Linked DNA regions of Mus musculus: region 1 is reported to be linked to region 2. Evidence: microRNA targets listed by miRTarBase, many of them from high-throughput screens and not tested one by one. Region 2 holds a microRNA gene; the other region holds the end of a gene's coding sequence.

Region 1 (4,349 bases), not on the chromosome of region 2:
GGAAGAGAGGACATAGAGACAGGACACATCAGCTGGAAAAATATGTTCCTAACCCCCCGTCAAGGGAGCAGACAGGAAGCACAACAGGCCTGAGGTACGGTTCAATGGTTGGGCACGTATCTAACGTGTGTGAGGGGTGGGAGCCCCAGATCTGCAAAAAGAAATCACACCAAGACAAAGTTTACCAGAGCCGCCATTATTTAATGCCCAATTATCACAACAGAATGAAACTTGCTGGTGGTTCAAGGCAGGACTTTGGGTGAAACCAGGAGGTAGGTGACCCACATGGAGTCCCAACCCAGGGACTCCAGACCTTCCCACCCCCAGGTATCTTCAAAATGATCAAACCCCACAAGACTGCATATTTCCTAGGAGCCAGAGGCTGGCCAGACCTGTAGCCACCACGGTCCCTGAAGAGCCTTGTGGGAGAAGAGACGACCTGGGTGAGGTGGGGCCTCTGGGTACGACGGAAACTTAAGCCCCGGCTTCTAATCAACCCCAGAGGTTTCAGAAGCGTTAAAGCTATAGCACACCGATGGCGGCATGAGCAAACTCTTTACAACACGGAATCTGTGCAGAAGAGAGGCTGAGGCCTCACAGGGAGGGGAAACCACACTGCACCCCCTGAAATAGTTTACAAACTCCCCCAAACTCCCACTCCTCACAGCCACACAGAGAAGGGACTCAGCCTGACATCTTCAATGGTGCATCTCCAAGCCTATTTACAAGTTTAATTCTGCTAAATGCTCTGGAGTCCCCAGGGATATCAGCAGGGGACACTGGTAGGGCTGGGAAACTTCCCTGAAGAAAGTATTCCCCTCAGAAAGAAACTGGTAGCTTTCCCACCCTAGCATGAACGTTTCCCTAGGGCCTAAAAGACATACCACTCAAAACAGTGTTCCAAAAGGGGTACACCCCGTTCTTTTAAAGCACTCTAAGGAACTTAAAGAGGTCTCAAGTATCATTGGCAAGAAAGAGGTGTGAGCTTGTTCCCACGCTAGCCTCGGGCTTCTCCCGGGAGGTCCAGCCCCTGGACCAGGCAGGGTTGATAAGAAAGAGCTCAGAGATCAAAAAGACTGGGGAAGCCTCCATCCATCCCTGCGCTGGGTCTTTTGACTGAACTTGAATCTGGACTGTATTCTTAACCTCACACCAGACAGGAATGGCAGCCCTCTTCTCGCTAAGCCAAGCTCTCCTCCACCCAGAGCCCAAGGCACAGAGGTCAGATATCTCTGTTGGCGCACAGCTAAACGGCAAAGACCAGGAAACAGCAATGCTGTCTCCGGCCTCATGTGCATCAAACCAGATCTCAGGTAGCACCCTCATCACTCAAGGGACCCCCTGTGTCTAGAGCACACTGGGCTTTCTGGGTGGTCTGAGAAACCCCCCTCGCTTGGTAGAGACCAAGGACATCTCTGCAGCAGGTGTATCTAACCTGCAGCACGGGTCGCAGACACCTACGAACACAGCCCAACACAGAGTTGTAAACGTACTTCAAACATCATGAGATTTTTTTTTTTTTTGGTAGCTTATCTATGCAGTTCCTGAGGGTGAACTTTAGAGACGACGAGGTCACATATGTCAAAAGGTTGGACACTCGGTGTAAAAATAGACAAATTTCAAGTGTGTGTGGGGGGGGGTGAGTCGCTGACCACTCCTCGGACAGGACTAAGTTTGTGGCACCAGGAAGCTGACTCGAGGATAAGACAAATTAACCCAAATGGGCACCAGTACATATTAGCTCAACATCCAAACTTCAAATTCCCAGTCAGCTAGCTCGGACCTACCTGGCATAGCCAACTTCATCTTTTAAATCAATTTAATGCTACAAACTTAAAACAACAACAAGCAAAAAGTGCTGCCCCACTGAGCCCCTGAGAAACCCAGGCTCCCTGAGGGTAGGTGGAAGGCCTCTCAGACCCCGTCACCCCTGGGTACACCTCTCTGGACACGTGGCCTTGGTTAAGCCCATTCTCCATGCCTGGAAAGGCGAGGAAGAAAAGCGGACTCTTGCCGTCTCCTGACCACAGGAACCCTGGATGGTCAGTCTATGGGCAGAACAAGAGAGACCAAGAGCTCTTCCCAGATCCCCATGCCAGGAGAGGTGGCAGGCGCCAGCCTATCCCGTCATGAGCTGCTGAGGCCTAGTCTGCAGGGAAGAGCACCCCACCCCTGCCCCCTCACCCCCGAAGCACTCCAGTGGGGAAAGGTGCAAACCTGTCACCAAGCTCCTGTCACATCTGACCTTGGAAGTGAAGTGAGGGCTTTGGGACAGTGGGTGTTTAAGGAATCTTCCCCCTCCAACTGCAACCAAGAAACAAAAATAATCCTCCCAGGGAAACATGGGCAGACCCCAGGGTGTTTCTTGTTTTCTTCTCACTCCTCTCTGCCTCCACCTTCCAGGTCTCTGACCTCCTGAGGAAGGGCATCTAGGAGGCACGGGCGTGGCCTCCTGCTTTTCCCAGGAGCTCTTCTGGGCTAATTCCTGAAGGCCTACATTTACATTGGGAGGCTCAGGAAAGATAAGACATCCAATAGGAAGCCAGCCCCCTTGGCTACCTCCCCCAGAGTAGCTACTGGAACTTTCTCTAGGATGGAGGAGATGGAGAATTCCAAGCCGGTGCCTTGGCTGGGCCTGGCATTTTCTAAAATTACAAAGCCTAAGTGCAATTAATTCAAGCAAACTGGATAGTCCCCTCAAGACCCAGGCACCACTGGGGGGACGGGGGGACGGGGGGCAAGGAGCTGGCCTAGACCCCTGGAAGCCCAGATGTGCGCTTAGGCACTGGGCGTGGGTGGGCCTGTCTGAGGAGAAACTAGAACAAATCTCCCTGCTAAAACTCAGGGTGGACAAACAAACACATCTGAACTAGAAATAAATACAAAGGCGTTAAGTGCTTCTTGAAAAAGTCAGGGTCCCCCTGCCCCTCAGAAGGAGGCAGTGAGCCCTTTCCCTGAACATGGCCACCTGCACCCGTAGTCCTTCATGAAGGGGTCGGAGGTCAGAAGAGGAGGGTCAGGGCTTAGCCCTGATATCACTCCCCAGCCGAATCCTCCACATCTCCCTAGCTGGCCTCCGCCCTAAGGAAGGCTGGAAGAGAGCCGCGCAGACGGAGGGTGACACCTGGTGTCTGGTGTCCCCCATCTGGGCAGAGAGCCTGTCAATCTGTCTGTGAGGAGGTAGACAGATGCAGGACGCTTCAATTAATCAACAGGTCCCCAAGGTCATAGGAGTCGAAGAGGTCACTGATGCCTTCCCCCTCGTCCATGCCCCACAGGTATTCGTCCTGGTCCAAGGGCGGGGAGAAGCTGATCAGGGGGGAGTTGGCCGCCAGGATTGGGGACAGGAACTGGTCCTCAGTCTGTTGTAGAAGAGGGTGTGACAGCTCCAGCATGTTGTCAGTGGCTTCCAAGGGGACGAGGGATGGGGCTGGCGGCAGTGGTGGTGGAGGAGGCGGTGGTATCGGCTGGGGTATCAGTACTGGTTTGGGAGACAAATAGACAAGGGTCATGTCTGGCTGCTCTCCGATGGCTGGCCCCTCCTCCATCTCTTCCACTTAGTGGCCTGGAGACACCCGATCTCTCCAGGCTCCAGTCACAGAAACTCCATTCTCCCGTGTTCTTCTCCCCTCCACTGGGTGCAGTGACCTGCTCCCAAAAAACCTACCCTCTCCCACCCCACCCCTGACTTCTGTATGTAGTCCACCTTGCTACCCTACAGGACTGCTACGGAAACCATTTTCTGGTTCCTACATTTCCAGCTTCCCCAACTCTCCTTACATCATTACATCAGCCCACGACACCCTGATAATGCCTAGCTTTAAACAGCAATCTCCTGAGCTGAAGAAGTGGGGGCAGTTTGTGGTTTGTGCAGAGGACCCGAGCTGGGTTCACAGCGCCTACACCTTGCAATCGGTAGCTCCTGATCCCAGAGATCCGATGCCTTCCTGGGCCTCTGTGAGTACTTGTGTTCATATGCACATACCCACACACAAATAAGCAACAGAAGATAAAATAAATCTTTTTTTTTTAAAGCATTGGCCCTCCCACCCCACCCCCCAAGGGGCCGCCCTTTCAACAAATGTTCCCCGGAGAGTGAGGTGTCCACGTGCAGAGGAGTGAAGCTGGACCTTTAAACCATTTCTTAAAATTAGTTCAAAGTAGACGAAAGACCAAACGCAAGATCTCAATCTATTAAATTCCTACAGGAAAAGCTAGAGCAAACTTTCATGCCGAGTATGGTGGCTTAGACCTCTCATGCTGGCGCTTGGCAGGCAGAGGCAGAAGTACCATGCGGTTGAGACTACGAAACAAGACATTGAAGCAAAGCAAAGGCTGGGAAGATAGCT
Region 2 (4,387 bases):
CTGAAGCCAGGAGGCCCTCAGGTGCCTCCTCCCACCCTTAAAAATTGTGGTTGCTTCCTTGGGAGGGAAGATTAATAATAGTACATGTATCTGTACTGACCTGTCTGTCTGTATGTCTCTATCTCTGTCTTTCTCTCTCTCTATCACATACACACACACACACACACACACACACACACACACACACACACACCAGGCTGGGGAAAAACCCAGAGCCTTGCACATGTGGGGCAAATGCTCTGTTCTGTTTGTTTGTTTGTTTGTTTGTTTGTTTGTTTGTTTGAAACAGGGTTTCTCTGTGTAGCCCTGGCTGTCCTGGAACTCACTTTGTAGACCAGGCTGACCTCAAACTCAGAAATCCTCCTGCCTCTGCCTCCAAATGCTCTGTTCTTGAGTCACAGCACCAGCCCCTCCACAGGGGATTGTGGGGAGTGCGTTTCAAAACAGGGTTTCTCTGTGTAGCCCTGGCTGTCTTGGAACTCACTCTGTAGACCAGGCTGGCCTCAAACTCAGAGATCCACCTGCCTCTGCCTCCTGAGGGCTAGGATTAAAGGCATATGTGACCATTGCCCGGCAGATTTACTTATTTTTATTTTATGTGTATGCATGTTTTGTCTGCAGGTGTGCATGGGTGCTACCGCATCATGCATGTCTGGTGCCCACAGATCCAGAAGAGGATTCCAAACCCCTGGAGTGGGCAATACAGATGTTTATGGTCCTCCGTGCGAGGGCTGGAAACTAACTTGGTCCTCAGCAACAACCACAAGAGCTGGTAACCTGCCTCAAGTTTGCCAGTTTTTTTTTTATTTTTATTTTATTTTTTTTATAAAGTAAATAAGTAAATCTTTTTTTTTTTTTTAAGATTTATTTATTTATTATATGTAAGTACACTGTAGCTGTCTTCAGACACTCCAGAAGAGGGAATCAGATCTTGTTACGGATGGTTGTGAGCCACCATGTGGTTGCTGGGATTTGAACTCTGGACCATCGGAAGAGCAGTCGGGTGCTCTAACCCACTGAGCCATCTCACCAGCCCAAGTTTGCCAGTTTTAAAGGTCAAACCCAGATAAGTGTGTGTGTAGTGAGACATACTTTTTTAAAAAAAATAGGGCTGGTGACAAGATCTGACTCCCTCTTCTGGTGTGTCTGAAGACAGCTACAGTGTACTTACATATAATAACTTACATAAAATATTTATTTATTATATGTAAGTACACTGTAGCTATTCTTCAGACACTCCAGAAGAGGGCGTCAGATCTCGTTACAGATGGTTGTGAGCCACCATGTGGTTTCTGGGATTTGAACTCAGGACCTTTGAAAGAGCAGTCGGGTGCTCTTACCCACTGAGCCATCTCACCAGCCTGAGACATACTTTTAATACTCGTACTTGGGTGACAGATACAGGGAGATCTCTGGATTTGAGATCAATCTGGTCTACAGAGTGAGTTCCAGGACATCCAGGGCTACACAGAGAAACCCTGTCTCAAAAAACCAAAACCAAAAACAGCACTAGAGACAGGAAGGTAGAGACAGGCAGATCTCTACGAGTTTGAGGTTATCCTGGTCTACATAGCAAGTTCCAGACCAGCCAGGGCTACACAGCTGAATCTCGCTAATCAGTTTTTTGCCAACTTGACACAAACATAAGACATCTGAAAAGAAGGAATCCAAGTTTTGGAATCTGGATTTGCCTTTACTGGATTGACCTGTATGCAGGGCATTTTCTTAATTACAAATGATGGATGTGGGAGTGCCCAGCTCCTGTGGGCAGTGCCACCTCTAATCAGATGGTCTTGGGTGGTATAAGAAAGTAGGTTGGGGCTGGAGAGATGGCACAGCAGTTGAAAGCTCTGACTGATCTTTTAGAGGTCCTGAGTTCAATTCCCAGCAACCACATGGTGGCTCACAGCAATCTGTAATGAGATCTGGTAACTTCTGAAGACAGTGACAGTGTACTCATATACACAAAATAAATAATTCTTTAGAAAAAAGGAAGAAAGGAAGAAAGAAAGGAAGAAAGCAAGAAAGAAAGCAGGTTGAAGACAGGTATAGTGGTGCACACCTTTAATCCCAGCACTCAGGAGACAGAAGCAGGAAGATCTCTAAGTTTGAGGCCAGCCTATTCTACAAAGTGAGTTCCAGAACAGCCAGAGCTACACAGAGAAACCCTGTCTCAGCAACAAGAAGAGAAAGAGAAAGGAAAGGAAAGGAAAAGATCAGAAACCAAAGCCGCCTGAGCAAGCCTTGAACATCAGGCTGATAAGCAGCAGCCTTCTGTGCACTCAGCTGCAGCTCTCTGACTTCCCTCCACGATGAACTGTGGCCAGAATGTGCAAGCCAAACAAAACCCCTCCTCCCTGGTAGCTTTTGGTCATGATCTTTATCACAGCAATAGAAAACACACTAAGACAGAAACCTTATCTAGGGAAAAAAAAAAAAAAAAAAAGGCAGCTTGGTTGGGCCTCTCTGAGTGGGTGATGTAATCCTGTTTGGAAGTAGAGGCTGGAACGGCAGGCATCCCGACCAGCGACCAGCGTGTCTGCCCCAAACTTCTTAGCTGGCACTGAAGGACCATTGTGATCCAGGCCAGGCTCCTTCTCTAGACTGACCCGCACCTGCTCCTAGATCTGGGAGAATTCATGGTGACTATGAATAATAGCTATATCTAGCACGTGGGGTTTCTTTCCTCTGTTTCCTGTGCGCTGTGGCACTTCCCCGACCGTATAGGCTCTTCTATGTGTGTACATGCATGCGTGTGGCATATGCATGTGGACACATGTACACTCTTCCACTTTGTGTGGAAGCCAAAGGCTGGTGACAGGTATGTTCCTTAATTGCATCTTCACAATTTTTGTTTTGTTTTGTTTTTGAGACGGGGTCTTACTAGGTAACCCTGGACTGCCTGGAACTAGCTGTGTAGATCAGGCTGGTCTCAAACTCACAGAAACTGGCTTGGTTCTGCCTCCTGAGTGCTGGGATTAAAGGTGTGCACCACCATACTCAGCTTCACCTTAAAATTTATTTGTCGCCGGGCATGGTGACACACGCCTTTAATCCCAGCACTGGGGAGGCAGAGGCAGGCAGATTTCTGAGTTCAAGGCCAGCCTGGTCTACAGAGTGATTTCCAGGACAGCCAGGGTGATACAGAGAAACCCTGTCTCGAAAAAACAATATATATATATTTGTTGCCTGGTGGTGGTGGGATGTACCTCTAGTACTAGTACAAGCACAGGAGGCAGAGACAGGCAGATCTCTGAGTTCAAAGCCAATTGATCTATAGAGTGAGAGTTCCAGGACAGCCAGAGCTACACAGAGAAACCCTGTCTCACTGTCTCAAAACAAAACAAAACAAAAAAATTGTTTAATTTTTGGTGTGTGTGTGTGTGTGTGTGTACATGATATGGGCATGCTTGTGGAGGTCAAAGACAACTTCATGGAATTAATTCTCTCTTTCCACCTTTATGTAGGTCCTGGGAATCGCCCTCTGCTTGCCAGGGCTTTTGTAGCAGGAGGCTTTACCTGCTGAGCCAGCCTGCCAGTCCACCACATTATTATTACTGCTGTTGTTGTTTTTGTTTTGAAACAGGGTTTCTCTGTGTAGCCATGGTTGTTCTGGGCTCACTCTGTAGACCCGGTTGGCCTTGAATTCAGTGAGATCCACCTGCCTCTGCCTCCAGAGTGCTGGGATTAAAGTTGTTCACTTTTTTTTTTTTTTTTTTTGAATGGAGTCCCTAAACCTGTAGATTGCCAGGGAACCCCAGAAACACACACACACAGGTTATTCTTGCATAAAATCATTGCCTTCCAGACTCCCCTTTTTCTTTATTTTATGTATATGAGTACACTGTAGCTGTCTTTAGACACACCAGAAGAGGGCATGAGATCCCATTACAGATGGTTGTGAGCCACTATGTGGTTGCTGGGAATTGAACTCAGGACTCTTGGAAGAGCAGTCAGTGTTCTTACCCGCTGAGCCATCTCTCCAGCCCCTCTCCCCTTCTTCTTTAATGGCTAGTTGCAAGGTTTCCATCAAGGCTCGGCTCACACCAGGCGTGATGCTGTGTGTCTGTAATCCAGCATTTGAGATGCAGATGCTGATGATGCTGAGTTCCCAGCCAGCAGTGTACACTGTTTGGTTCTCTCTGTCCACCATGTGGGTCCTGGCACCGAACGCAAGTCACCAGACTCCATGGCAGGTGCCGTTACTCACTGAGTTAACTTACTGGCTCAGCCTGGACAACTTAAAAAGATACTGATTAAAAACACAGCACAAACAAACAAACAAAAAACAGACTAAAATGTACCTTTTCCCTGGCCTCTGTATTCTTCTCCTCCTTAAGGCCCCCTTTTTTTTTTTTTTACCAGTGAGTACGTTTGTGTGTAGTGT

What was found. Region 2 holds the annotated microRNA mmu-miR-3965 (UGCUUAUCAGCCUGAUGUU, at 2,248-2,266, opposite strand). A microRNA usually pairs through its seed, bases 2 to 8, with sites in the 3' UTR of a target mRNA and lowers its output. Matches are read on the target gene's strand: a 7mer-m8 pairs with bases 2 to 8, a 7mer-A1 pairs with bases 2 to 7 and ends in A, and an 8mer does both.
Region 1: the mRNA of E2f2 is a reported target of mmu-miR-3965. Seed matches in the 3' UTR shown: 7mer-m8 at 1,528-1,534.

The regions. Positions count from the first base shown.
Region 1 is chr4:136,191,889-136,196,237 of GRCm38, reverse strand. E2f2 (E2F transcription factor 2) reads right to left here. Exons shown (of 7, transcript NM_177733.7): 7 at 181-3,481. The coding sequence ends at 3,201. Among named protein-coding and RNA genes, the nearest start is that of Asap3, 12 kb to the left of the region's middle.
Region 2 is chr5:134,324,373-134,328,759 of GRCm38, reverse strand. Mir3965 (microRNA 3965) reads right to left here and starts at 2,306; the gene lies at 2,238-2,306.